Linked DNA regions of Alligator mississippiensis. The protein of the gene in region 1 interacts with the protein of each later gene in a pairwise test. Links are inferred from orthologs where the notes say so. Each region holds a gene or a part of one and is shown on either strand. Other genes may lie near its edges.

What was found.
Region 2: the proteins of FHL2 (region 1) and KIAA1217 interact in binary tests that used the Homo sapiens proteins (3 or more experiments, as listed by UniProt). The two-hybrid records come from large-scale screens. The link is inferred for Alligator mississippiensis from reciprocal best matches to the Homo sapiens genes FHL2 and KIAA1217.
Region 3: the proteins of FHL2 (region 1) and SAXO1 interact in binary tests that used the Homo sapiens proteins (3 or more experiments, as listed by UniProt). The two-hybrid records come from large-scale screens. The link is inferred for Alligator mississippiensis from reciprocal best matches to the Homo sapiens genes FHL2 and SAXO1.
Region 4: the proteins of FHL2 (region 1) and GNG12 interact in binary tests that used the Homo sapiens proteins (3 or more experiments, as listed by UniProt). The link is inferred for Alligator mississippiensis from reciprocal best matches to the Homo sapiens genes FHL2 and GNG12.

What each region holds. Positions count from the first base shown.
Region 1 is NC_081824.1:347,635,455-347,642,293, reverse strand, and holds the start of FHL2 (four and a half LIM domains protein 2), read left to right. Parts: upstream 1-3,836; 5' UTR 3,837-3,934; intron 3,935-6,839. UniProt on the Homo sapiens protein: May function as a molecular transmitter linking various signaling pathways to transcriptional regulation. Negatively regulates the transcriptional repressor E4F1 and may function in cell growth.
Region 2 is NC_081828.1:187,252,967-187,260,051, forward strand, and holds the start of KIAA1217 (sickle tail protein homolog), read left to right. Parts: upstream 1-4,074; 5' UTR 4,075-4,412; coding exon 4,413-4,482; intron 4,483-7,085. UniProt on the Homo sapiens protein: Required for normal development of intervertebral disks.
Region 3 is NC_081826.1:178,421,183-178,428,115, forward strand, and holds the start of SAXO1 (stabilizer of axonemal microtubules 1), read left to right. Parts: upstream 1-3,933; coding exon 3,934-4,087; intron 4,088-6,933. UniProt on the Homo sapiens protein: May play a role in the regulation of cilium length. Stabilizes microtubules at low temperature.
Region 4 is NC_081828.1:18,411,128-18,418,734, forward strand, and holds the start of GNG12 (guanine nucleotide-binding protein G(I)/G(S)/G(O) subunit gamma-12), read right to left. Parts: upstream 3,026-7,607; 5' UTR 2,933-3,025; exon of another isoform or gene 2,930-2,932; intron 1-2,929. UniProt on the Homo sapiens protein: Guanine nucleotide-binding proteins (G proteins) are involved as a modulator or transducer in various transmembrane signaling systems.

The DNA.
Region 1 (6,839 bases):
CCTGGGCTACCCAGCCACCTATCTCACCAGCCATGCCTTGATGGAACAATAAGTATGATGTTACTCAGGTGGGAGGCTGCCCATTTCCTACACCAATGCTAGGGGTTGCTGCTCCAAACCTTCCCTACATGGTGGCCCACATCTTGCAGATGGTTTATAAATGTTGACCTATGCCCTAGGGAGTTGGGTCGGCTCACTCCCTGTCGTTGTGCCTCTTGGCACTGGGGTCTGCCACCTGTCACTGCACCCCCTGGTACTGGGGGTCTGATCATCCCCTGTCACTGCACCCCTCCTCCCCCCACCCCCCCAGCACAGGGGCTTTGCACAGTAGTGTGCCCCAATGAGGCCTTCTCTTTCCCAAATAGCCTCAGCCACTGGATAAAACAATAACATAAATATGAGCCCCTGAGCTATAACATAATACAAGTCATACAAGCCACACTCTGGCTCCTTAAAAACCCCAAACTGCTCCTCGTGTGTTTAGCACCCTCCAGCTCTGGGTACCTTGTAGATGCCTGGAGCCTCATTAGCCACAGCAACAGTCTGGCCAGCAGCCACAGAGTTCCTGGGTAGTTCTGCCGTGCAGGAGCTCTCTTCCCCTGGCCACTTGCCAGAGACCTCCTCCTGCCAGCCTTGGCCCTGGGGTTTATATGTGCCCAGAGGCCTATCCCCTTCCTGTGAGCTGACTGGCCTGGGTTTTTGGACTATTAACCCCTACCCTCCTGGTGCTTGGTGTTCCTGTAGACTCAGGTCTTAAAAAGGCAGCCCTGCCTCTTAGTAACCGGACTAGGGTTCCCTGTTACACCCTGCTTGGTGCTGTTAATTGGTTCCTGAGAAACCAAGCATTAAGCAAAATGAGCATTAAGTGAAACCAAAAGTTTTTAACGGCCCCAGATGATGACTGCATGTGTTTTTAGTGACCCAAGATGGCAACCATGAGCATTATAATAAACTCACTGAACACTAAGTGGAATCAGGTATCAATTTTAAAATGAACATTATAGCATTAATGCATTATAGCATTATAGCAAAATAGTGCTAAGCAAAACAGACATGGAGCATGGTATAGGGAAGGATTAGAGTCACACACTTAGCACATAAGGCTTGAGGTGCCCTGTGCAGCACAGTACTAGAGTGAGGTCCTGCAAAGGGCCCAAGGACCAGTGAGTTCTTGTGGAGTTCAGTGGACCAGGGCCAACCACAAGCCTGTGGGCAGCCTCCTGATTCATTATTTTACCATCAAGACATGGCAGGGGAGGCAAGACTTGGGCACCCTTAGGGCAGAGCTGGCACAGTTGCGGAGCTGCCAGGGGCATCACAGCCAACCCTGGGGACCCCAACCCGTGACATTTAGTTTTAAACTACTTATCTTATTTAATTGGATTTTGTTCTGAGAAATGAGAAAAGACAGTTTACACAATAGCTACAGACACATGTGACATGCTAACTCTGTAAGAAAGAATATTTTCATAAAAAAATTATGAGATATTTCTCCAAGCTCCCTAATCTAATCTATCAGATCAGGCACACTGCCATGATGTCTGGAGATTGGGGATTCATACAGACAACTCCCATCAGCCAGAGCTATGTCATCAGCTGTTTTATCAAACTTCATTCAACTGACAATTTGTTCTGCCTGTGAACCATCTAGGGATGTTCTGTGCTACTATGAATTCTCAAAATGTCAAGTCCTAATTGGTTTGGGGGCCACAACCACACCTTCTGTAATGGCTCTGCCCCAAGCACAAATTGAGACAACATTATTCATTAGTGACCTTACAGTCAAGATTTCAGAACACCTGGCCCATTTTTTGAGTTACCCTGAAATACTTGCTGCTGGCCATTTCCACTATCTATATTATTTGTCATTTGAGTCTTTACCATCATCCAATCTGGGAAGATATCCCAGGGAAAAGTCCAGAGCAAAATTTATTTTTCTGTGAAGCTAAAAACACAAAAGTGCATATGGTTCAGAAAAAGAAATTATGCATACTTAAAGTCTGTATGCATGCCAACATTGAGTAAGACCTGTGAGAGAGAAACAAAAAAGATGTCCGTTTGGGAGTGATGTTCTTTGGAGTTTGGAAAATAAAGGAGAGAATAGCTTTGAAAACATTTATTTTGGGAAATTCTACTGAGACAGTCACTGAACTCAGTTTCCAGTGGCCAATTTCACTCAATTTGTTCATTTTGCTGCGTTAACATTAGGAATAACTGCAGGTAACAAGAACATGGAAAACCAAAAAAGAAATAAATATTGCCTCCTGCCACTTTAAGATATACTTGAAATCTGGTGTGCAAGAATACGGGGTATCCATCACAGTGCCTGGAAAAACAGCCAACAATAAAACTGAGCAAACAAAGAACAGCTTGCTGGAGTCTAAGAAAAAAAGAAAGGACAGCTCTTATTTATAAAATCTCTTCTGAGCAGCATAGGAAGAGAGTCAGAGTACTATTTCTGGGAGTTTCCTGATCCCATTTCCTCCATGGGCTGGAAATGATAGAAAGGGAACTTTGTCTTCCTCCCCTTTAGCCTCATACTTTATCCCTTCCCTGACTACCTTAGTGTGTGTGCTTGATTTCCCATCACAAACCTTTCCTAAATTACATTTCATTATAATACCCCCTGTTCCCTCAAAAGAATTTTAAGGGGCATTGCTCCTCTGTAAAACTATGTAGATTGAAAATCAGTTTCATTGGAGAGTGAGATGGCTAGCACCACATCCAAGAAGTCAGCAAGTGGGTATTTCTTTAAGCACCCACACTTTGCATACTCGTTTTGATATTTCTAAACTTAGCAAAAAAGGAGAGCCCTGGGATAATGAGATGCATGTGAGATCTGAAGAGGGTTCATGTCTCTTTAGGAAAGTTAGGGTGAGGTTCCAAATTTCAGGTTTACTGTGGGAAGCCAACTCCCAATCTGGAGCAACTGCAGTATCCCAACAGTAATGTAGCTAAACTGCAATGAACAACCCTATAATGACAAATAGGATATGCTATAACTGATGATGGCCAAGAGTAGTCCAGACAGATCTTCCACTGATGTCAGCCAGTCTCTGGATGACTTCAGGGCTGTGCTTATGTACAATTAGGATCAATATGGCATGCAGTCAGAGGCTTCCATTTGTAACGTCTCTGACTTCATGCTAAAGTTCCTTAAATGTATGTTCCTTCCTATGTGCTGATGTAACAGTGTCATCAAAGCGGAAGAATGGTCTAGAAGTTAAGCCTGTAGCCTGGAATTTGGGAGATCCAGGTTCAGTTCAAATGCCACAAACTTGTGTGACCTTGGACAAAGCCACTTAGCACCAGATCTTATTCCTCCTATTAGGAGCCTAAGTGCATTTGGTGCCCCATTACATCCTGCTAAGTCCCTGGAAACCCATCAATACATATACTTCTGTAGTGCTGCATCATCTTAAACCTCAGTCTAACATCACATCCACAGAAACTTCTTAGGTGTTTTTAGTAAAATTGAAGTTCTCACTCGATACATGAAAATGAACTTAAAATGAAGATCTGTTATTGTTCAGTTAGTTATAATAGAACAGGAGCAGTAGTGAAGGTAATGCCTTGATGATGCCATAGTACTGCACAGGGTGGGCAAGTATATATAAAGCTCAGGCATCCTCAGATTAAACAGAACAAAGGTCTGTGGTTGCTAAGAGCAGTGCAGCTCATTTCCATTACAGATCTTGTGCTACTTTAGGTATGATTCCTTAAAAGGCTAGCAGAACAGAGGTGCTATGGTTCTTATCTCCTTTGGATGGCTGGTCCTTTGGAGATATTGTATTTATAGCTCATCTGTAAACCAATGCCTGTCTAATTGCTAAATACATAGTTTGAGTAATCTAATAAAGCAATAAGCTTCTGCACTTGTCCTGTCCTCTCATTCTCAGACCAGAGAGCAGAGGCACCACCAAGCTGCAGCAAGGTAAGCACAAATCATTGTTTTTACTCCCCTTTCTGCCTCATTTTGAGAGGCAGACTTCCAAAATGCTCTACATACAGATCTACAGAAGATGGCATTCTTAGTGATTTGTTCATCTCTTCCTATAGATGTAGCATTTCACTTTATAGTTCCAGCCTAATGCTGGAAGCCAAACACTAAGTAACAGCTGTTCCTTATGCCTCTGCACTAATAATATACTGTCATGTTTTCACATTCTCAGAGAATACAACCATGTATAACTATAATCACTTCCCTGGACTCTGGGTATGAACAGGAAAGCGAGTGACTTCAGACAGAAAGCTTTTGATTAGTTTTTTTTTTTCCTCTATTAGCTTTTTCTCCTTTACTGATGAATATTTGGAAACAGAATGTGCATACAGAAACAAAAGAAAGATGAAACATATTGCTATTCAGCTATTTCTCCTTGACACCATTTCCTGATGGCCTTGGGAGAAAGAAAGTACAGATGACATTTACTGATGTCATGTTTAAACAACTATTTATTATGGATTATGGCAGCTGTGCAAAAGAAGAAAAAGTACTGATATGTTATGCAGTGTGAAAGCAGGAATTCTTCATAACCAGTATGTGAAATAGCATTAGCCAGAACTTGCAGGCAACTACTATCAGTTAAATGAATTATTTTTAACCTGATCTCAGAGTGAAGATTTTCAAATGAAGCCTAATAAAAGAAAACCTCTTTGGGAAAATAAGATAGTTTGGATGGAATTTGTGCTCACTTGATATGGTGTCTATGTTAGAAGGATTCTAAGCAAATACCTCAAAACTCCCCCAAAGTGGGAAAGAATCATGAAATTTCTTGCATAGATGAGGATTAAAGCCAATACTTTCACACTGTGTCTAAGGTTATTTATTATACTAATATTATGGGACTGAAATGAACATTTTCTACTTTTCCAAACATAGGTCGGAATGCTGTTTTCCACCCTTTTTGGGGAACGTGGAAGAGAGAGCCATATCTCTTCTCCATATGCTGCATCACAAATCAGATGTAATGTAGCCACCTTCATGCAGCACTATGACATCAGTTTTGGCACGTAACATGCGCAGAGCACAGTGGTATGGGTAACTGCGATGCTCCCTGTTGTGGTCCTAAGGCAGTACAGACAGGCCCTGAGAGTCTGAAAGCCTAGTGAAGTCTGCTGGAATGCTTCAGCTGGCTCCAACAGATTTGGATTGAGTTCAGTTTCTAAATGTGGATTCAGGTACCTAACTTTAGACACCTGGAGACAAATCCTCAGCAGGTGCAAACTGTCACCCACTGAGGATATTGCCCCTAAGCGTGAAAGTTTTAGAGCCAGCTGTCATGGCATAGTGCCAGCAGCACCTCTGTCTCTTCTTGCTGAGCGCACACACATGCAGGTGTTGGGTCTTGTGCCTTTATCTCCCATAGGGTGGAACTATGCAGTTCTTCTACTTTTACACCAGGTTTTAATTCAACGCCCACCATGCTTACTCAGGAGGTCTAAAAGGGTGCAAGTTGAGCAGTTATTTGTGAATCGGTGACCAGATGACCTTTTTAAGCCAAATCTTGTTTAATCCTAACAGGAGGAATATTGCATAATACAAGAGTAAAAGGAGTTTGAAAACAAGCAGCAGTGCACAAACATGTCTGTTTTATGTAAAGAATTACCATCCCTGGTGGATTCCTAGGAAAGGTTAATGTCTTCAGCTCTCCCAGAGGCTGTCAGTATGCATCAGTCTGTTTTTCAATAGTTATTGTTCCCCTTCTAGCTAGAGACTCTCTGTTTCAAATCCTTATATTCCTTCAGTCCTTTTGGCTCCCAGAATTTGCAAAATATATTTTTAATTTGGCTGGTGTCTAGAAGTAGCATCTTTATACCTAAAAGCACTGCTTCATATCTTTATGGACCTGAAGTCATTACTAGGTGTCTTACTTGGAGCCATTGTCCATTTCCTTCTTGTTTCTTCCAGTAGCCTACTATTAAATTAAACCAACCTATTCCTCAGCTTTGTATATGGACACTATGTTGAGATTTTTTTATTCTCCTTTAAAAACTGAGAAGGCATCTGTGGGAAGGAATTAGGTGTTTCATTTTACAGATGCTTTCTGTAAATGTTAGGCCAAAAATTAGTTTACATTTTATTTTACCTTGGAAAAAATGCCAGTGTAATGCAGGAATATATTTTTTAAAGCAGTACTCTTTGCTGCATTGAATTTAAAAGTCAAATTTGAAAAAGACCAAAACCACTCAATTTTAAAACTAACAACAGTTCTTTATTAACAACCAGCATTTGAAAAATACGATTAAATAGATAAATAACTTTATTTTTCCCTTCAAAATATCAAAACATCAGAACAAGAAAAACCTTTGATAGAAATTGCCAATAAGCTTAGAGAAGTAGATCCATTAAAATGGCTGTTTTACACAGAAAGTCTAAAAGGCTGTTTCTAAGGAAGAAAACTCAGAGAGGGAAAGGAATATGAACACATACTTTGAGTGAAATCTTGTCCCTGTTTTTTGAATTTTGCCCCAAACTTCCATTGATTTCAAGGAGGCCAAGATATTCCCTTTCCCTTTTATTTTAAATGACACTGAGTTTGTGTAGTTTTATAACAGTACAGGATTTTTCCACATCAATTTTCTTTTTGGAGGGCTAACTAAAAAATGTCTACTCACAGGCAGCTTGTATCTTAACTACCTGCAAGAGAGTTTTTTCAACTTGGATTACTTTTTACTGGCTGCAATATTTTATCTCTAGCTTTATACCATGGCAAGTTCAGTTTCATGCTGATAAATCCAGGGCAATTTCAACAATGTCAGTTCGTCATATAATGCTGATTAGGTCCAGGAGGCCTGACTGCATATTTGACATACTTCCCAGTTTTTTAAAAAGTGGGGTG
Region 2 (7,085 bases), on another chromosome or scaffold:
GCGCCCCAAGGGATGACGAGGTCGAATGGTCACAAACTACTACAAGATCGTTTCAGGCTGGACATAAGGAAGAATTTCTTTACTGTCCGAGCCCCCAAGGTCTGGAACAGCCTGCCACTGGAGGTTGTTCAAGCGCCTTCATTGAACACCTTCAAGATGAAACTGGATGCTTATCTTGCTGGGATCCTATGACCCCAGCTGACTTCCTGCCCTTTGGGCGGGGGGCTGGACTCGATGATCTTCCGAGGTCCCTTCCAGCCCTAATGTCTATGAAATTAGAAGACTGAGGTTCTGCAACAACCTTCCAGAAAAGCAATACAGGTAAAAAACCTCAATAGTTTTAAGATGTAGTTGATCAGTTTAGGCAAGGATTATGTAGGTTGTCTGTGGTAAAAGATGACTGGACTTGATGATCCAGGAGTCCCTTTCAGTCATACATTGCTATATTAATTCTGGGTTTCAGAGTAGTAGTTTTCTATACCCAACCCCCAATCATTCTGTGGTCTATTTTCAGGGGATTCAGACCCCAAACTTTCAACATTGGTTCTTTGGCATTAGATCAGGAGTCTAAAACAACATAGTGGGGCAGGGAAGGCAGCAACAGGGGCTTTCCCCCTGCAGCTTAGCTTTCCTTCCTACAGCCCAGTTGTGCAATCACCCAGCCTCAATTGCCCAGCTAGGCTGCAAGAGAAGAAAGTCGGGCTGTGGGGAGAAAAGCCACTGTTGTGGGGGGCCACCCACACTGTGCAGACCCCAGGTGGGGAGCCATGGCTAGGGCAGGGGTGCTCTGTGTGTCCCCCCCATCCCATTTGGCTGAGAGGGTGGGTCCAGCATGGGAGTGGTGCTGGGGTGATTACTCAGCTGGGCTGCAGAAAGGAAGGCCAGGCTGTGGGGTCCCCCCTGCACTGTGCCGATCTCAGCTGGGGGGGGTATGGCTAGGGAAGGGGGGCTCTGTTCCTCCACCCTTGTCCCCCTTGGCTGAGAAGCTGGGACCAGCACAGGGGCAGGGATGGGACAATCTCCCAGTCAAGCTACAGGGGGAAAAGCCCCCACCACAGGGGAGCCCTGCGGTGGGGGGAAGCCAGCTAGGAGGGCCATGGCTGGGGTGGAGAGGCTACCATGACTACCAGCTCTGGAAACCCAGGTCTCTGGGCAGGGGAGGGTTTGCAGTCACAGTAGGGGCTGGGGGCATGTGCCTCACAGCCAATCAGGGATGACCCTGCTCAGCTGCCAGACTGGGAGGGTGCAATAATGCCTCCCCCTCCAGGGTGAATGTATGTTATGTTTGCTCATGATCCAATATTTTCAGTTTAAAGAAACCCACAAAGGTTGGATTGATTCTGCCTTGGGTTTTTCTGACTGTCAGTACGTAGCCTTAGCGCTTGGGATGCTTACAAGAGTTCTGTTTTATTGTGTTCCAATTCCATCTGACTGTTCATAACACCTACAAGATCTTCCAGAAGTTGGTCATTAAGGGCATGGTCTCCAGTGTCACAGAGCTCAACTGTAATTGAATTGGATGCCCACCCATCATTTTTCGGCCTCTAATGCAAAAATCAGTGTGTGTGGAATGTACTTTCAGGTTAATAAAATATTACAGTAGAAAAACTGTACATCTCGCAGTATGTTTTTTTTTAATTGCTGGATTGCTAGAGAATCATTTTTATTCAGAACAGTTAGCGTGTTATATTGCAGATCTTAAATAGCATGCTAATATTTAGGGTGCTTTTCTCTTTCATATTGGTATTGTGTTTGGTGTTTTGAATTGCTGGAAACTTATGCAGTTTCTAAGAAGTGTTCTTGAAATTATTTAGTAGTTTAATATTGTTAATGGTGATTACAGGATTTGAAGTTTCTCTATTTTAGATGAGGAAAATTTACTCAAATCCAAGATGAGGGTTTTTTCCCCAGTCACCATCAGGGGGCAGGGGAACAGGACTCATCTTGGATTCAAGTACCTGCCCCAGGCAGGTAGTAGCTCAGCTCTGGCTTAGGACCCAGGCTTGGGGCTGAAGCCAGAAATGAGCTGCTGTCTGCCCCAGGCCAGGATAGCTCGGGGGGGGGGGCAGGGGAGGGGGAAGGCAGACTTACAGCTGGCAGGACTGCAGTGGGTGAGGAAGGGAGGAACCTGCAGCCTGCCTCATGCCCCTTCCTCCTATTCCTAGACCTGCCCCTCTATTCTCTACTTTTCCCTGCAACTTGTTCCCCCCCACCTCCTGCTCCCCTGCCTCTCCTTACCTTTTGCTCCAGTCCCTCCAGCCCCGACTCGGGTTGGCTGGGACCTGCAACCACTTCTCCCTGGCCAGGCTGGGCTGGGGGTGCCACTGCTGCTGAGTGCCCCAGAGGACCAGAGCTGCAGAAGAAGGTAAGGGAGGAGGCAGAGAGTTGTTGGGGGAAGGCACAGACAGGCAGAAGGGATCAGGCACAGGCATGGGGAGGCAGTGGGTGGCAGGGCAGGCTGCAGCAGAGGTAGAGGGTGAGGAGGTAAGGGGGCCTACACAGGCACAGAGGGCAAAGGGTGAAGGAGGCAGGTTGCAGGGAGGGCGGGTGCTAGGGAGACAGGGAGCTGAGGGGTCAGTAACAGGCATGGGAGATGAAGGGACAGGCTGTAAGGGGAAGCAGGGGTACAAACGAAGGGCATGGAGGGACAGGCACCAGTGTGGAGGGAGAAAAGGGTGAGGGGGAAGGCCACAGGTGGGGATCAAGGGGTGGGGAAGCAGGGAATGGGAGTCATACAGAGGCATGAGGGCAAGGGGTAGGAGGCAGGAGGCAGGCACAGACATGGAGAGGCATGTGACAAGGGACACATGGTGGGACATGCAGGCAGCAGGGGTGGCAGGCACAGGGGGCCTTCTTCCCTTGTTTCTGCTTTCTCCACCACAGCAGTGGATGGGACAAATTTAAAACAATCTTCCACTAATTCGATTCTACATGGAGAATTTTAACAAATTTATAATTTTTCATTTATAAAATCTAATTGTTGGAGAGGTGGTCATCTTAAATCCAAAGTCATCTTGGATTCAGGAAAATACAGTATGTTCTTTGAGTTTCTTTACTAAATTTAAGAAAAATTACAAAAATTCTTTGCACAAACGTCTAAATAAAAAGGTTGACCATTTCATCCAGATACTCCCACAAGAAGGAACCTCCAAAAGCAGTTCCCTTACAACCTTTCTTCATTGTGGGGGTGTGAAGTACTTACATATCCTGAAGTAAGGTTGGAATTCCCAGGCTTACCCAAGTGACTTTTATTTTCTTTTAAATCATAGCTACTATATTACCTATCCTTTCAGATATAGCTCCAATGTAATAGCTGATTTTAATGGGAAACTGCATATATTTTTAGAACCTTTGGTATGCTTTATTTTTAAGCCTGTTCAGAACTCTTGGATGGATATGCCTTCTGCTCTTGGTAATGTGATGTTCCTTAATTTTTCAGTTTGTTCCAGCACATCTTCTTTTTACTCATTTATCTGTGCTTATGCCTCAGCTTCACCACCTTAATAGACAAGATTCCAGTTTGGTAATCTCTGTTGGATCATGTGGTGAAAACTGATCCTCCTCCGTCACTTGCTGTATTATCTTGCAACCTAGTGGGTCTACTGCTTCTCCTGCAGGCTTCCTGCTTCCAATCTAATTAGAAGAAAATTTTTGATTTATTGTTATATCTTTGGTTATTTGCACTTCAAAAGTCTGTGCTAGCCAACGTTCCATCTTCCATATAGGTTACTGTAGTTTATGCTCATTTCTGTTGGCTTTGCTAAAAGGGCTGTCTTTATATGTTTTAAATTCATTCTACTTACTCTGTGAACAGCTTGAAAGTATTCACCAGAAAACAAAACCTCGGAGTGTTTACATAATGAATTACTTTTAAACTGCATGTTAAAAAAGACAGAGAAGCATTTATCAGGAATGTTGTGGGCTCAGTGGTTATGTGTTTAAAAAAAATATTCTGTGGAAAGGCTTTGTCCCATGACAGAGATTTAAAAAGCGAAGGATTCGGATTCCAGCAGAGATTCAGGCCTGTAATCATGTTTGAAATGTTCTCTTTCATAATGCTACTTGGCTGCAGGATATGTGTAGTTGGGGGCTGTGGAAAACAAGCAGGCTAGGATCTTGCCTGCAGAAAAGACCATCACCTGTTGGGGCCCACACTGAGAAGTGCTCAGGACTATTTCAGCAGCAGCAGTAAGCTGCAGCAGCAGCCTCTGGAAGTACTGCCCACCATTCCACTGAGGACCATTACCGATCCATAGCGAATACTTGGACTTCTGGAATGCAGTTCATTTTTTAAAGGAACTTTGTGCTGTAGAGGAGGGTGGTTTCCTTTTTTTCCTGGAGGCTGTTTCTGGTAGTTTTTCAAGCTGCAGTTTTAAAGTTTGAGAAAAAAGCTTGTGCAGTAGGCAGGGACAATGGAGGAAAATGAAAGCCAGAAATTTGAGCTGTGCCTGGCTTATTCAAAAGACAGCAGACAGATGAAGGGTAAGTAACAGAATCAGTCAAAGCGGGAGTTACATTTGAACATGTCCCTCTTTGCTGCTTTCTATAACTAGATACTGAATGCATGGAATATAAGTATATTTCTTGTGCGTGTGAGTTTAGAAGAGTTGTTGAATTCTTTGTCTTTAGAAGTTTAATGTTATTTTAGAGAGGTTAAATAGCAAAAGAGGAAAGCATGGTATATTGGTGTCACATTTTATAACACTAAGCAATGTGATATGGAGGGTGCTGCTTCCCTAGGGAAAGATAAATAAATGCAGTTACCCTTTAAATGCTCTATATTCCAGCTGCAGGCAAAAAGTAACCCCTCATTTTGTAAAAGCAAGCCAGATTACATTTTTTTTCAGTTTATATTTTTTAAATCAGAGATTCACGGTAGATTGCCACAAGAATAGTTTACTTTGTGTGAAACCAGTTGAGTTTATTTTGGAATGAAGCCAAGAAATTATGAGCATGCTTTTTCATGTAAGGTCAGCTGTGGTGCATTTGTACAATTACCGCTGTACTCTAGGTTTGCCCAAAACTTAATGAAAACTGTTTCCTGATGAATTTTTATGTGGGCTATTCCATTCAGAATAAAAAGCATGATAAATACCTAATTTAATCTGAATCTGCATATTCTAGTTTTTTTTAGAACGCCAATCATGGTAACTTTTGTGAACATCCTCTGTGCATGTTGTATGGTGTTTCTCACTGAGACTTCAATTAAATTTTTGTGCTCCCATGTATGTAATAAATATTATAATATATTTGTGTATAAATTCTAACTGAAAAATATTTTGATATAAAAATAATATAATAGTGATTTTCAAATAAGTTGCATATTCTGAAAAAACATAGAAACTCCAGTGTGATAATTCATATTGTTTGACATTCTTTTGGATCATCTTGATAGCAAAAAGAAAAAAATAGCAGTGAGCAGCACATCCCATGTATGTGTATGTGTGTGTTTATGTTTAGCAACAAGGAATTCACTCAAAAAAATTTAATAAGAAAAGGAAAAATCACCAACAACCTGTTTCTTCGATATTAATCATGAACAATTTGCTGAAATTCAAGTCATATTAAAAGTCAGAGGTCTGTCTGGACCAAACCCTGAGTTCAAGAACTCTTGATCCAGTAAAATTCAGATCCAAACTTGGTGACTTGGGCTCACATATAGTAATTGTATAGAAAACTTTGTAACCATAGTATATTATAACAACAAAGGAGGACCAGAAAGTCCATTTTGAGACGGTAAAAGCACGCTGCTATTGGCTACAAATTACGGGTGCATATGGACATTTGGGGAGGTTGGGGGGAGGTTAAATCGCATTAAAAATGACCACCCAATATAACTTAGTTCGCCCAGGTGCTGACCTTACACTTAGATCCCTAGTTAGGACGATCTAAATGTGAGCTTGTCAGGACAGTTAGATGGATCTAAAAGTGGATGGCCTGATCTGAGTTAACACTGCTTTTGAGATAGTCTAACTTAAATTGGGTTGCCCATTTTTAGATCTATCTAACTGCCCTGATCTGCACAACCCCAGGGCTGGAAAAGCTCACCCACTGACCCTAGCCCTGGGGCTGCACTTTCCTTAGCCCCTCCCTGGCACCGATGTTTGTTTCTCCCCCAGCCCCTTTCCGGAGCCTACTTGCCCCCCGATCCTCCCTAGCCCAGCCTCCCACTAATGTCCCCACCCCCCACCACCATGCCAAATTACCTTAGATCAGGTGGCCATTTCTAACTCAATCTAACCTCTCCCTAATGTTCCTGAATGTCTGTGTACACCCTATAATGAACAGGTTTTGTTTTCTGAAAGAATATATGTTCACTATTGGTTGTTTCAAGACCCGCTTTCATAGTTTGGTGTTGGACAAGTGCACATTTTTTATTTCTAAAAGTGCTTTCAAATGTGTTTTTGCTCCAACTTACAATATAGAAGTTATGAAATATGTAGAAATAGTTTAGGGTTATTAAGCAAAAAGACTACCATGTTTTCTGTAGACTGTCTTTAGCTTGCAGTGCAGCTCCTTGGAGGGTGAAACTTCAGTAACTTAGCTGCATGCTGAAGCACTGCAACAAATATATTTTGAGCTAAAAGACTCAAGTCACAGCAGGTAATCGACAGATTTTTATGCTGAATTATCTTGTACGTTCCACTAAAAGGTAAAGATGATGGAACTTGTTCATCAAGGTTTATTCACTGTAGTAATGGATAAACCTGAAAAAGGTTGGAGTTGGGATTCAGAAGCACCTACATGTTAAGAAGTATACAACATTTTAATCCCATTTCATACAAGGCTCTTGTCCTGCTATTTAAATAATCCTATTCTGCTTCTCTTCACACAACATCATAGCAGTAGGTCCAGCAGCCTGTCAATGTCAATATGTCTCCTTTTCAGAAGGCAGACAGGCTTATCAGATACCCATTTGGTGGTGGAGGTGGGGGTTGTTTTTGCTTTTTTCTCCTTTCAAGGGACGATCAAATTAATCTTTTTTCTTCCTCTTATTCCCTGCAGTCATCTGATCCATTTACACATTCCAGTTATATGTGGGTTGTCTGGCCCACTCTTTTCTAAGTGCCATTCTACATTATATG
Region 3 (6,933 bases), on another chromosome or scaffold:
GAGACACTGAATTTTATCAGAACCCCCTGGAGTCTGCCTTTTCCTCTGAGCTGCAGTTTGGAAAATAATTTAGAACATGTGCATGTGACCTTGTACATACATCAGTGGCTCCCTCAGTATATTTGGGTAATCCGACACTTACTTATTCTAAATTGGCTAACGTTGAAGTATGGAAGCCCCATCAATTGAGTAATTTTAAAATTGGACTGGACAGTGCTTTGGAAAACTTACTGTGGGGGAACAATCACACATTGGCAGGAATGATGCACCAGACATAAAACTGCATTTTGTTATTTTTTTTTCTCTCTCACTCCTATGGGCTAATTCCTGAAATCCTAACTCGGCAAAACATCCTTAATAAATGTATATAATTTTTTTTTTTTAATTCAAGCTCCTGTTGAAGTCAACATGTAAGGCCTAATTTTTCAGGATTTAAACTGAGTAAGGGTTTTTACCCAAAGCTTATATGAGACAAAAGATAACTTGCTTCTCTCCTACATGACCTCTGAAGCTGAGCTGACACAGCAGAGTGCACACTGAACTCTGTATCAAGGTGCAAAAATATGTTTTGCCTTATTCACTTCCCAGAGACTACTTGTTTTCTGCTGGGTGCCCTTGCTTAATGCTATAATTGAGCTGCTTAATTAAAAACAATTATCAACCCAATTTTATTACTTCTGGAGTTGGATGGAGAAATGTTATGACATTCAAGTCCATCATAACAAAGATTTATCTGCTTTAGAATGTGGTTATTCACACAGATGAAGCCATTTACATTTTATGGGTCACCAACTGTAAAGCTCTCTGGGGCAGTGGTTGTCCTACTTCTTTGTGTCTTGTTTGCATAGCACCTAACATAAAATAGTCCTCATCCTTGACTGAAATTTCTGTATGCCATCATAATGGCAATAGATACAAGAACATGATGATGATGATGACAGCTTGGAAACGTATCTATTTCAAAAGCAGGGTTAAATCTACCTTCTGGTTCTATTTTTTTTCCCCAACATCCCTTGGAGGTTTGGGGGTTTTACATTTTCATTTTTTTTCTGGGCATGTCTGCACTGCAGCATAGTATAGAGTGGTAGTTTTCAAACTGAAGTACATAGAGATTTGCCAGGGGGCATGGCTTATGATTGGCCAATGCATGTTAGGTAATTGCGTAGCCTCATGCTGATGCTGGTGTGAATTCCCTTCCCAAGGAATGAACATGCAGAGAGGTGTTGGGTGGGGTGGATACAAGCAGCAATATTTTGCAGGAAACTCCCAGGTGGCTAATTTACCCTGCTGTCCAAGGGTTTTCTGCCCTTTCCAGCTGTGTGACAGGCCCACACAAAGAACGGAAACCACTGATTATACAGTGGAAACAGAGAACCAGAAGTATATACCAAGTGCTGTATAAATACATTAAGAAAACTGAAAATATTTTCTCTCTAATCTCTTTTGAGTAATAGTGAATTTGGGGGTTACTTGTAAATATAGTGGATAGAAACTTTTTTTCAGATAGAAAAGAGTAATTTTTAAAAAGTGCCTTTAAAATTACAGATAGCATTAGTCAAACTTTGGTCAGCAGCTCTGAAATAAGTACATTATTTTATGGAATAATGTACATACATGTCTTATGGAAACCATCAGATTTACTATCACTGAAAAATGGAGTGAACCTGACTTTAGATGTGTTTTGTTTAATTTAAAAAGGAAGTTTGTTTAGATCAACACTAGATATAAAAAATTTTAATTTCCTACATAGTGTGCCCTAGGGATCCACACTGAGAGATTTATTGCTTATAATTCTGGCTAATCATGACCTAATTCTATGACCAGCATCAACTTAAAAATCTTTGTATGTGTATACATACACACATGTGCATATAAACACAAATACAAATAATGCTATGCATTACGCTGCTTTGAAAAGGCATAACCGAATAGATGGTTTTCATGGAGCTGGATACTAGCATGGTTTGTAAATAAAGCTTTGATATCAAAAGCAAGTAAAACAATAAATATGTCATTTGGCTGTAGACTGGGATGCAGTGCCTCACAATTTATTGGAGCAGGGGTCAGGAACTACAGCTACACTGATAGTGTGTTTGACAAGCTGACATGGAGCTGCATAGAGGAAACCATCTGGACTAGGTACAGATAGTCAAAAAGCCTAAGGCTGAATTGATTCAGTCTTTGCAAATTAGTTTAAACTGCACAGATTAAATTGAAACAGACATTTACCTTTGATTCAGAAAACACAGCCACATGCCTACAGTGGTTCAGGCCAGAAACCAGGGGCATTGGAGCATAGCTCTCTGGCTGTATATTCACTTCTTTTTCCTGCTGCCCCTGAGGTCTCTGGGATTTGCAGTCCAGAATTACAGCAGCAGGACTCTGCAGGGTTGCTCATTTCTTCCTCTTCCTGCTCCAGGTGCCTCTGGGATTTGTAGTCCACAGTTGCAGCCAGCAGTACATTTTAAGTGGGGGAAGGGGTGTTTTTAACCTCCCTCCCTGGCCCCAGACCCTAGCAGGGGTTTGTCTGAGGGGGACAGTTCCACCTCCCCCCCCGCTTGTCAGCCAGCCCTCACTGCTCCAGCTAGGGAGCAGAGGGGTAGGGCCAGCCCTGCTCTCTGGAGCAGATGGCACAGACCAGCCCAGGACTAAAAAGCATGCTGGGTGGCCTCTGATTTAACTTGAACCAGCAAGAGGTCTGGGACAGAAGTTTCATAAACCAGTTTGACCCAAATCAGTTAAGTCCAATACTACATTCAACCAGGTTTATCTTAAACCAGTTTCAGTCATTTTGATACTGGTCTACGTGCACTGAGCTTCTGTTCTGACAGGCTTAAACCAGTTTCTGATCACTTAAACTGGTTTAGTGTAACTTCTGTCCTTAGCCCTGCAGTGCAAAACAAGAAGTTTTATTGGGCTAAAGTCCAGGAAAAATGCATATTCTTGAGCACCATTTGCTTGTAGTTTGTTAACAAACTGCTCATGTATATGTATATAGAGAGCACCCTTGTAACAATGTGTATGTGTACACATAGGGTGCGTCCAGATGAGTGCACATGTGTGGCATGTGGTGCTGCACGGTGGCACACACTGCACGCGCTGCATACATCCCCAGGGAAATGCATGTTCCTGCTCATGGAGATGTGCCCATAGGGTGCATCTACATGAGCTATTATTGTGGTTCAATAAAGTATGGCACAGTTCATGCCAGAATCATCTGCTTCTGGTCTCAGTCTTCACCTGCGCCCAGGACCACAGGAGTTTAAGCCAGGTTGGAGCAGCCAGCTTGGGTGGTCAGCCTCAGACTCCAGGTGGTGGCATCAGGCAGTGGAGGGGCACAAGAGTGCCAAAACTGTGGACCAGTACAGATGATCCCCAGAGCCTGCTGCTAGCCCAGGGCTGCTCTGTCTTGGCTCAAACTGCTGCAGTCCCAGTCACTATCCACATGTGCATTTCTGTGCAGCAAAGAGCTCTGCTATAGGATAGTACTATCTTACAGCCAAGTTAATTAATTAATTTACTGTACCTTAATACTGGCACATGTAGACAGTGATGCTTTATTGCAGAGCTAATTGGTCATCTCCTCAGTAAAGTACACATGTAGATGCACTCGGAGAAAAGCAACATACTAGTACCGGTCCCTGGGCACATTCTGACCCAACTTTAGTGTTGTGCTTAATTTGGAAGAAAAAAATCATGAAGGAACATAAACCAGCATCATGATATAAATCATAGTTCTTACAATTAGTTTTATGGTGATGTTCAAAAGAAAAATCTGGAGTTGTTGCAGAAAGGCCTTATTGCACAACAGTCAGTTTTTAAAAAGGTTGTTCAAGGCAGTGACGTTTCTTCATTATCCAGCTACATTGTACATAACAAAGAGGGATAAACCTCCTTACTGACAGTGAGTTCTTCAAAGACTATGCAGAAAATATGGATATATTTTGCCCAGAAAAAGAGTCTGTTAGTAGTCAGGTCAGCTTCTCTAAAATGATGGTGTCATGCAGAGTTGAAGACATTGGTGATGATCTTAAACTACAGCTTCAAGATGTTGCTGACAATTTTGTGGCATATTCAGTCACTTCAGGTAAGAGTACCAATGTTACAGGTACTTCTCAGATCCTTATTTTCTATTAGTGGAGTTGAGAAGACTTTCAAATACACAAAAACGTCCTTTGGCTTGAAAGACTGAAGCAGAAGAGGAAACGGGTTTAATGCAGTGTTCTCTTCATTTATGTAAATAATATAAAGTGGGTATCTCTCACTGGTGTCACTACAGATGGTGCCCTATCCATGTTGAGGCAAAGGATTGTGGACTAAAGCAGAAAGTTATTGAATAACACAATGTAGCCACAATTTTTGGTATCACCACAATGCCTACCTATCAAGAAGCTATTTTTGCTCAGGTTCTCAGGGTGGACCATTTCATGAACATTGCTGTAATATATGTGTGAACTTCATCCCATCTAGAGGCCTCATTCACCAGCATTTTAAAGCTGTGGGTGACCGAGCTTGGGATCCAGGAAAGGGGCCGGCTGGGTTGTAGCCACAAACCCGGCACTTGCTACCGCTGGAGTAGAATTAGGCACAAACGCATACTGGTTCAAACAAAGATGGCTTTTACTTACACTGTCACGATGTACAGCATAGGAAGAAGGTTAACTTCAAACTCCAACTTCTGTTACAATCAAACCAAGGAGCTCTTATAAGACGAGATATCTTTAACCTGGGTCTGAACTCGAGCATGCAGGACACGGGGGTATGTCGGGGGAGGTCGTCAATGGGGAGTCGTCGGTGGGTGATCAGACCGCCAGGTTCCACTCTGAGACGAGCACGGAGTTCTCCAACCTGGGCGGAAATGACTCCAACCCTTTATACGACTAGCGAGCCAATTGCCAGCCGCCACGTAGGAATAATTTGAAACCGGCCAATTAGAGTATGCACATTTGCATATGAGTGGCGGGAACTTTTCCACGCCAGGGCTCTCCACCGTGCCGAGAATTCCCCTGTCTCGCCGTGCCTTGTGCTAGAAAGTTCCACTGTACCAAGGCACTCAACTGATCAGTTCTGACATGCCCCCTTGCCGACGGTACAGCTGGAATTTGAAGCACATGCACGCCGTCTAACTCGTCACTCCTCTCGAGGGGTAACCGGCTATATACAAAAACATACAACGAAAAAAGTTCGTCCTCAACGGATCGAATCAAATAGTAACCAATACAAACACAAACACACGTAAGTACATTGGTTACAAAAAGTTCAATCACGAGGAGTTCAGTAGGTGTCATGGCAAAGTCGCATGTCAGACCTCTGCGTCTTCTCTTCCTCTCTCTGGGTCCGCCTCTGACATGTATCTTGAACCTCGAACAAAAAAAACTGCAAAGAAAGCATTCTTTGAACAATTAATTAACTTATATTACACTATTTATATGGAGTCGCACGCATAATGGGACAGCTAATCAAATCCCCTTTGCGGCTTCCCACTCTCTCCCAAGCACACGAAACAAGTGCTTGGACACGATTCAGCTCTGGACGATTCTCGCACACCCGCAGATGCACCGTCATGAATGATGATCCACAAGCGGACGCCGCGTGATCTTGTCCGTGCTCAGTGAGACGAGTCTTCTTCTTCCCCTTTCAGCGAAAGATAGCCGCTGACAAACCTTTCACCTATTCCGCCCGCCTGGTGATAGGCGATGTGGGCGCCTAGCTCCACAGCATTCGACACGTGGTGTCTCCCACTGTGCCAGGGACAGCTTCTAACTAACTCTAACTCCATCGGGTCTTCCCCAAATCCCGATTCCGATCCTGATCCTGTTAATCCTGATCCTGTTCGTGACGCCATGTGGGTGACCGAGCTTGGGATCTGGGAAAGGGGCCGGCTGGGTTGTAGCCTCAAACCCAGCACGTAGATGGGTACTTGCAACCGCTGGAGTAGAATTAGGCACAAACGCGTACTGGTTCAAACAAAGATGGCTTTACTTACACTGTCATGATGTACAGCGTAGGAAGAAGGTTAACTTTAAACTCCAACTTCTGTTACAATCAAACTGAGGAGCTCTTATAAGATGAGATATCTTTAAACCGGGTCTGAACTCGAGCATGCAGGACACGGGCGTGTGTCGGGGGGGGGGGGGTCATCGACGGGGAGTCATTGGCGGGTGATCAGACCACCAGGTTCCGCTCCGAGACGAGCACGGAGTTCTCCAACCCGGGCAGAAACGACTCCAACCCTTTATACGGCTAGCGAGCCAATTGCCAGCCGCCACATAGGAATAATTTGAAACTGGCCAATTAGAGTATGCGCATTTGCATATGAGCGGCGGGAACTTTTCCACACCGGGGCTCTCCACCATGCTGAGAATTCCCCTGTCTCACCGTGCCTTGTGCTAGGAAGTTCCACTGTACCGAGGCACTCAACTAATCAGTTCTGACAAAGCCTCTTTAGAAGATGCTGAAGCTGACTCTGGATATGTCACAAGTTTATTTTTAATTACTTATCTATTTTTAGATGTATATCCCACCCTATCCAAAGGCTCAGAACATCTTACAATAAACAGTCAACCCACAGACAGGATTTCCCAAATAATGCCACAAAACCTCATCACCTTCCCCAACCACCACCTCCCTGCCTAAACCTCCATGCAAGCAAATCCTCCTGCCAATCCCAAGCACACCTCCCAATTGCCATTCATGTCCAGATACAAGAAACCTCTTCCTGCCTCTCACACTCACCCCACTGCCCCACCTGACCCCCAGGAGAAGATCCCTCAGCTTTCCCCAGAGTGCTATGGTGTTTCACAGAAATTGTATGGCTAGGCATAGACACCACCTTGAAATGCTTTTTTTTTTCTTTTGAGGAAAGAAATTTTTTGAATTTCTGAATAAAAAGGGACAAGATTTTCCTTAGCTAATGATACTGAATGGCTGTGT
Region 4 (7,607 bases), on another chromosome or scaffold:
AAAGGTACTTGATAGCTGAAAGCTTGTGTACATCCCTCCCAATTATACATCAGAGACACTAGGCTGCAGTACTGCAAATAAGGAACTGGGAGTTACAATAGACCAGCAGTACTCAAATTTTGTGGCCAGTGGGCTGGGGCAGATGAGGTAAAGTCCTATCTAGCCACATAAGGGGAGGAGCAGCCCAACCCTGACCTGTCTGCATGGAAGGGGACTTGACCCAGCCCCACAAGAGGAGAGGGCATGGTCAGGCACCAATCCAGCTGTGGGGAAGGGAAGTGGCTTAGCCCCAACCCAAACATGGGGGATAGGGGCTGTGGCCTGGCCTCGACCCAGCCATCAGGGGCACTGCTGCCCGATCCAGCCTGAGGGGAGGGAGTGTGCCCCAGCCCCAGCCCCACCACGAAGGGCTTGGGAATTTGTTAACTGCCACTGCTCCCCTGCTGCCAAATTTTCAGACCCATGGGGAGCCCTACGAGCTGGAGACCATGGTTTTGCAGGCCACATTTCACACATGGACTGGACGCAGAGCGCCCTCCCCCTATCCCCCCTTCCCCGACCATAAGCTGAATACGAACCAACAGCGTGCTCTTGTTGGCAAAAAAACCAAAACAAACAGTATACTGAGTTGCATTAACAAAAGTGTCACGTTCAAATCAAGGGAAGTGATTCTCCCCCTCTACTCAGCATGGGTAAAGCCACACCTGGAGAACTGTCAAGTTTTGGGCCCCACATTTTCTAGTCTGTCTACATCCTTCTTGAAGAGTCCAGCACAGAGCAAAAGATATTAGGGGTGTCAGAAGCAAAACTTATGAGGAAAGGCTGGAAAAGCTAGGGTTATTCAGCGTGGAAAAGAAAAGACTGAGGGGGGACGATAACAGTCTTCAAATACCTGAAGGGCAATTAGAGAGAAGGTGAAGATGGACTTTTCTCTGTGGCTATAGTCCAGGAATATGAGCAATGGACTCAAGCTTCAGCAGAGGAAATTTAGGTTGGAGATTAAGAGGGAGGTTTTGACTGAGAGGGTGGTCAAACACTAGAACAGGCTGCCTAGAACAACTGGGGAATCTCCAACTTGTTGGAGAGACACTTGGCTGGGATGGTTTATTCAGGGATGAACCTGCCTTCAGCAAGGGCTGGACTAGATCAGCATTTCTCAATTTGTGGGTCATGACCCAAGAGTGGGTCACAAGAATACATGAAAGGGTCACAGACACACTTTAAAAAGGGAACCCGTAGCTTTTCCCTTGCAGGCTGGCAGAGATCCAGCCTGCGAGGGGTTGCTTGGGACTCCCCACGTCCCCACCCCACACACCTCACACACTCAGCAGCAGGTCAGGAGTGAGGGGCACTGGGTCAGGACTGGCCATCAATGTTTAAGAATGGGTCCCAGTACAAAAAAGGCTGACAACCACTGGACTAGATGACCTTGTGAGGTCCCTTCCAGCTTTACTTTCCTCTGACCCTATGACAGCATCTTCTCCTAAATCGAGTAGAAGTTAGGAGTCCTGAGAAAGTATTGAGTGTTTCATTACCTAATAATGTACAATTATGAAAGTAAAAGTTTACAGGAATCAGTTACTGTAATACTTCTTAGTTGTATGCTTACACAATTAACAGTTATTGCAATACTTAATTTCTAAAGGAAAGCACTTCATGAAACATATTTGTCATTTAGCATTGATTAAAGAGATTCTAAATTACTGTAATATATGCAATGTGGGCAAGAAATATAGGCTTCAAAAGCCTTTAACCGCATACCAGTCCTTTAATCTCATTTAGCTGGTATTGGACTAGCAAGAAATGCTACTATTTAGTGCAGGTTATTCATTTATTCAGGAAGTTTAATTTCCAAACTGATTCATAATTAAGTTAAATTCAAGATAGCAGCTTCTTATTCTACAATTTCTTACTTACACCAGTGGCTCTAAGTTAACTGTGATACTGGCAAATAACGTGACAAATCACACCAAATTTAAGCTGCAATACTGACAGGTACCTACCACACGATCCCAATGCAGGTTAAAAAACTTATTTCAGGAGTCAACATTTTTAGCCTTGGAATATAACACCGCACGTTAAAACTTGCTAAAACCAACATGGTATCATCTTTTATTAGATCGACTCAAATTGTTGGAAGAATGTTTCCAATGATTTGAGTCGGTCTAATAAAAGATACCAGATTTACCCAGCGAACCTCGTCTGCTTAAGCCCTTGGACCACCACGGCTACAACCTACACCCCTAAAACCAACTTGTGCGCAGGACAAGTCGCAGCTTGTGGCCAGGGTGCGACGAGAGCGCTTTCTGCAAAGTAATACGATAATATCACCAATAATCTCTCCACACCGATGCGCTAATGTGACACGATTTGCCGTTTATCGTCCTGCCTTCGGCTGGCCTGAACCAACACAACCTTCCCCAGAAGAAAGCCAACTCCTTCGCCTCAGAGGAAAAACCAGACACGCGGAGACTGAAGGGCCCGGCGGTGCGGGGTGACGGGTGACAACCAGGATGGATGGGGGCGCCGCAGTTTCGGGCTCCCGAATTCGTGCGCAAATCTCTGCTGGACTCGGGAAATATGGGGGGGGGGGGTGTCTCCCAGGGCCGGGACTACACACCCGACTCGCAGAGCTGCTAGTGCCCGGGGACGGGCTCGCAGCCGGCGGGAAGGCGAGAAAACCAGCTGCAAATCACCCGGGGTTTCGGCGCCCGGGGGTGGCAGGCCTGGGCTGGGCCGCCCGGGGAGGGGGCCGGGCCGGCAGCCGAGGGCGCGCACTGCCCGGCCCGGAGGCCGAGGCCGCGGCCGGGGACGACGTGGGGCAGGTGCGGACGCAGCCGCCCTCAGCCCCGGGCAGCCCGCAGGGCCCTCCGCAACGCGGCGGGGCAGGCACAGGCCCGGCTCTCCCCTGCCCTCCCGCCCCACTCACCACCGCCGCCGCCGCAGCCCGGGACCGTCTCTACGGGCGACCGGCGCAGGCCGACCTCTCACCCGCTCCCGCTCCGCCTCCGCCTCCTCGGCGGCGGCTGGCTCCGCCCAGCCCGGCCCGGCCCGGCCCGGCCCCGCCCCGCCCCGCCCCCGCCGGGCGGCGCTGTGCGGGCGAGGGGCGGGCGGGGGCTTCAGCACTTACGAAAAAGCGAGGCGGTGGCGGCGGCCGCGGGCCTGGGCCGGGGTGGGGGCTCACTTGACAAGCGAAGCGAAAACACGGCCAAGAGGCCGCCATGGGGATGAGGTACAAGTGGGACCAGAAGGAGGGCTGGCCTGACCAGGCAGCGGGGTGGTTGGCACCTGTGACTAGGAAGCGGGGTGGTTGGCACCTGCGGGCTGGACAGTTTCTAAGGCAGCAGGTCGCTGAGAAGGAGCCGTGTCGGCGGCAGCGGGGCCCGGTGTTTGGTGTGAACCCTCAGGTGGAGCAGAGCCAAACGTGCGCCCCCGGTTGCGCCCTCCCAAGCCCCTCGCGGCGCCTTTGCAAGGACCTCGCACATCCTGGGTGAGGATCACGGGCTTACTCTAACTCTCCTACTGATGTGTATTCGCACCGGCGGTGTTAGGCATGGCAGAGTCCGGTCCAGTCTTGACGAGGCACGTCAGTGTAACACATTGGTTCGTAAAATCAACAGGCCCGTGCTATGTATCACACCAGGCCACAAGCCCATGTCACTCCACCACTATCGTCCCGGTGCTGCCATTGCCGTGACATAAATCATGTTTTATGAAGGTCCTCCCAGGGGAACAACGTGTTTCTTTGCGATAGTGTGAAGTTGCTGTGAGTAATTATGACATGCCATCCCAGCATCACCCTGGCATAGCATGTGCCAGGACTAGCAGTTTATATCACAACACGCCGTCTTTTACAGAAGTTCACTGAGGCTGTCAAACATCCTCAGCCCTCGAGAATCGGAGCTAGTGAAACTCTGCGAGATCTGAAAGGACTTCCTTATATTTTTATATAAAATGTGTCCGTATACATGACATACCACTTTTATTGCTGTATTATGTACGAGATAAATCGTTATTCAGGACCATCCGTTAATCTTTACCTAGAAATTTCTCACACACATGAGAAAAAATATATATATAATCTCTCCTACCAGAAAAGACTTGGAATTTGAGTATCTTCCTCTTTGTTCAGGTTTGTACTGTAATGCAAGTGATTGTTAACATTACAACCTTGCAATATAAAGATTAAATTTTTACAATGCATCTTTGCATGAATGCGTATATGTAAAAAGAATTATTTTTTTTAATTATTATCTCTTTCCAGTAGTCTCCAAGCATGTTAACAGCTGTCTGGTGAAGTCAAAATCCCTGCCACAAGAATAAAGTAAAAAAACCCCGAGAACAACAACAACAGAAGCAGGAAGGAGGAGTAGGAGCAACAAATATGCTTATAACCATAAAGAACAGAAGAAAGATGTTAATGGTACTACAGCTTGTGTTCCTTGAGTACCATGAGTCCAATTGTACTGGATTCAGGAAGAAAAAACATATTTAGACAGTTTTCAACATTATCTAAACTGACTTTTCCAGACAAAATATTGTTTTGTTCATATGGTATAACATTATGCAGTCTGCCAAAGCTAATGTCAAATACTCTATGTCCCAATGGAAAGTTGATATCTTTTTAAATTTATTTTTAAATGGCTATAGCTTCATGATTCCCTGCTTGCAAGAAAAAAAACCCCCAACATATAGCTGGCAATTACAAAAAGGTGTCTGTGAAGCAGAGCAAACATTTGAATTAGAAATAGTTCTGGGAAAATGGATTAGTGGGCAGAAGGCATGATTCTTAAAGATGCATAGTAATGTGTAATGCATCACATGCACATCAGTGATCACCACCATCATGTGTGCATACATCCATATGAATATGAATTGACACCTCACAGTGGACAAAATCCAAACCTTGACCACTATATTAACTGCTTCAGAGAAAGAATAAACAATGAAATAATCAACAACAAAAACCACCATAACAACCTTTCCCTCTCAGGGAGAAGGGCCATAGAATCCCTAAAAACTAACCACCAAATAGTAATAAAACCAGCAGATTGTCCTTAACCATGAAGACTACATAAAAGAAGCCAACAGACAACTCTGACACCACCTACTACAAAAAACTAGCGGATGATCCTACTCCCCTTTTCACCTTGGAACTCAAAACTGCCATAAAATCATTTCCATCAGAACTACAAGAAAAACTACAGAACTTGATATCCCCACTACCCAACCCAGGGACTTTTTACATGCTCCCTATAATCCACAAATGAGGGAACCCAGGCAGGCTTCTCATATCTAACCATGGAACCCTCACTGAGGAAATATCAGGTCTCATCCAATCCATCCTAAAACATCTTGTCACCCGAAGAGCCAGTTTTGTCCAAGACACAACAGACTTTCTATGAAAACTTAAAAGCATTGACCACCTTCTTAGCAACACCCTCCTAGCCACCATGGATGTTACCAGCTTATATACCAGCATCCACACCAAGATAGCATTCAGTCCTGCCTTACATATCTACAAGAACAAGATTGCAACTCAGAGTACAGACCCAAAGATATTACCGAACTTATACACTTCATCCTCACACACAACAACTTCACTTTCGATAATCAACACTTCCTCCAGACCATGGGCACAGCTATTGGCATCAAAATGGCCCCACAGTATGCCAACCTTTTCATGAGCAACCTGGAAGAAAAGTTCCTCAAGGACTGCACCATCAAACTCTTGCTATACTTAAGATATAATTGATGACATCTTTATCATTTGGATTGAAAACCTGCCATGTCTGATTGATTTCCATCAGAAATTCAATATGCAGCGCTCCTCCATCAGACTATCTCTGGAATACTCCAACACCAACATTCAATTTTTAGACACAATGGTCACTATCCAGAATGGTAAAATACAAAACACTGTATCCAAGAAACCCATGGACCAACATACATATCTGCACAGAAACAGCTATCACCCTAAGCACACCAAGACAGCTGTAATATACAGACAAGCCCTCCAATACCACCAAATTTGCACTGAGAAGAACATCTGGGATTACCACCTCACCAAACTCAAAAAGGCTTTCACTCAACAAGGACACTCCTCCAGAGAGATAGACTGCACAATTGGAAGAGCCAACTGGATACCATGTGAAGAATTGCTGCAGTACAGAAGAAAAAACCTGCATGAATCGCACACCACTGGCTATGACATATCATCCCTCCCTGGAAACTATATCAAAAATCCTCAAACAATTGCAACCTGTACTAGAAGGAGATGGAGCTGGACCTGGAATTCTCCAGACAGCTCTCAGAGGCAGTACAGTCTAGGGACGTAGTTGTCATGGGTGACCTAAACTACCCAGACATCTGCTGGGAGGAGCAGTCAGCTAGATCCAGCCATTCACATAGGTTCTTAACCTGCATACAGGACCTTCACCTAACATAGGAGGTATACAGTACCAGTAGGGGAAACGCCTTACTGGACTTGGTCCTGGCTACAGGGGATGATTTGGTGGGAGATCTACTGACACAAGGTAACATAGGGGATAGTGACCGTCACTTGGCTGAATTCACTATCCGGCATAGGGTGGGAAAGATAAACAGTAGAGCAGAAGTGTTAGACTTCAGAAAGACTAACTTCAGTGTGCTCAGGAGACTAGTAGCAAGGCACTGAAGAACAGGAGAACTGGTGAGATAAGAGTCCAGGAAGAATGGTCATTCCTAAAGAAAGCAATCCTATGGGTGCAAAAGGAGCCACGAAAGGGGGCAAAGGGACCAAGAAACCCTCTTGGCTGAACAGGGAGGTCCAGAAAAGCCTAGGGACAAAAAAAGAGGCATATAGGCTGTGGAAGCGGGGGAGCTACCAAGGTGGAGTATACCTACTTGCCCCACACTTGCAGGGAGGCAGTTAGAAAGGCCAAAGCAGAAATGGAACTTAGCCTGGCAACAAAAATTAAAGACAACAAAAATTCCTTCAGGTATATAGGGAGCAAAAAGAAGGTGCAGGGTAGCATAGGCCTCTACAAGACAAACTAAAGCAATTAGTGACAGACACGGGGGACAAAGGTGAGCGCTTCAATGAGTTTTTTGCCTCTGTATTCCTGAACTCGGATCAGGACAAATCTCCCAGTTGGATCATAGACAGGCATAAAGGGGAAACCAGCCCACCAGCTGTTAGCACTGACCTAGTGAAAAGACACTTGGAGGTGCTGGATGTGTTTAAGTCAGCAGGCCCGGGTGATCTTCATCCAAGGGTGCTGAAGGAATTGGCCAATGTCATAGCAGGCCACTGGCATAGCTATTTGAACACTCTGGGTGCTCAGGTCAGGTCTCAGAGGACTGGAAAATGGCCAATGTGGTCCCTATTTTCAAGAAGGGGAGGAAGGAAGAGCTGAGTAACTATAGCCCAGTTAGTCTTACCTCTATCCTCAGGAAAACCTTTGAAAAAATTATTAAGGATCACATTTGTGGGAGTCCAGTGGGGAAAGCAATGCTAAAGGGCAACCAGCATGGATTCATAGCAGGTAGAACCTGCCTAACTAACCTTGTTTCTTTTTATGGCCAGGTCACAAAATGCTTAGATGCAGGAATTGAGATGGATGTCA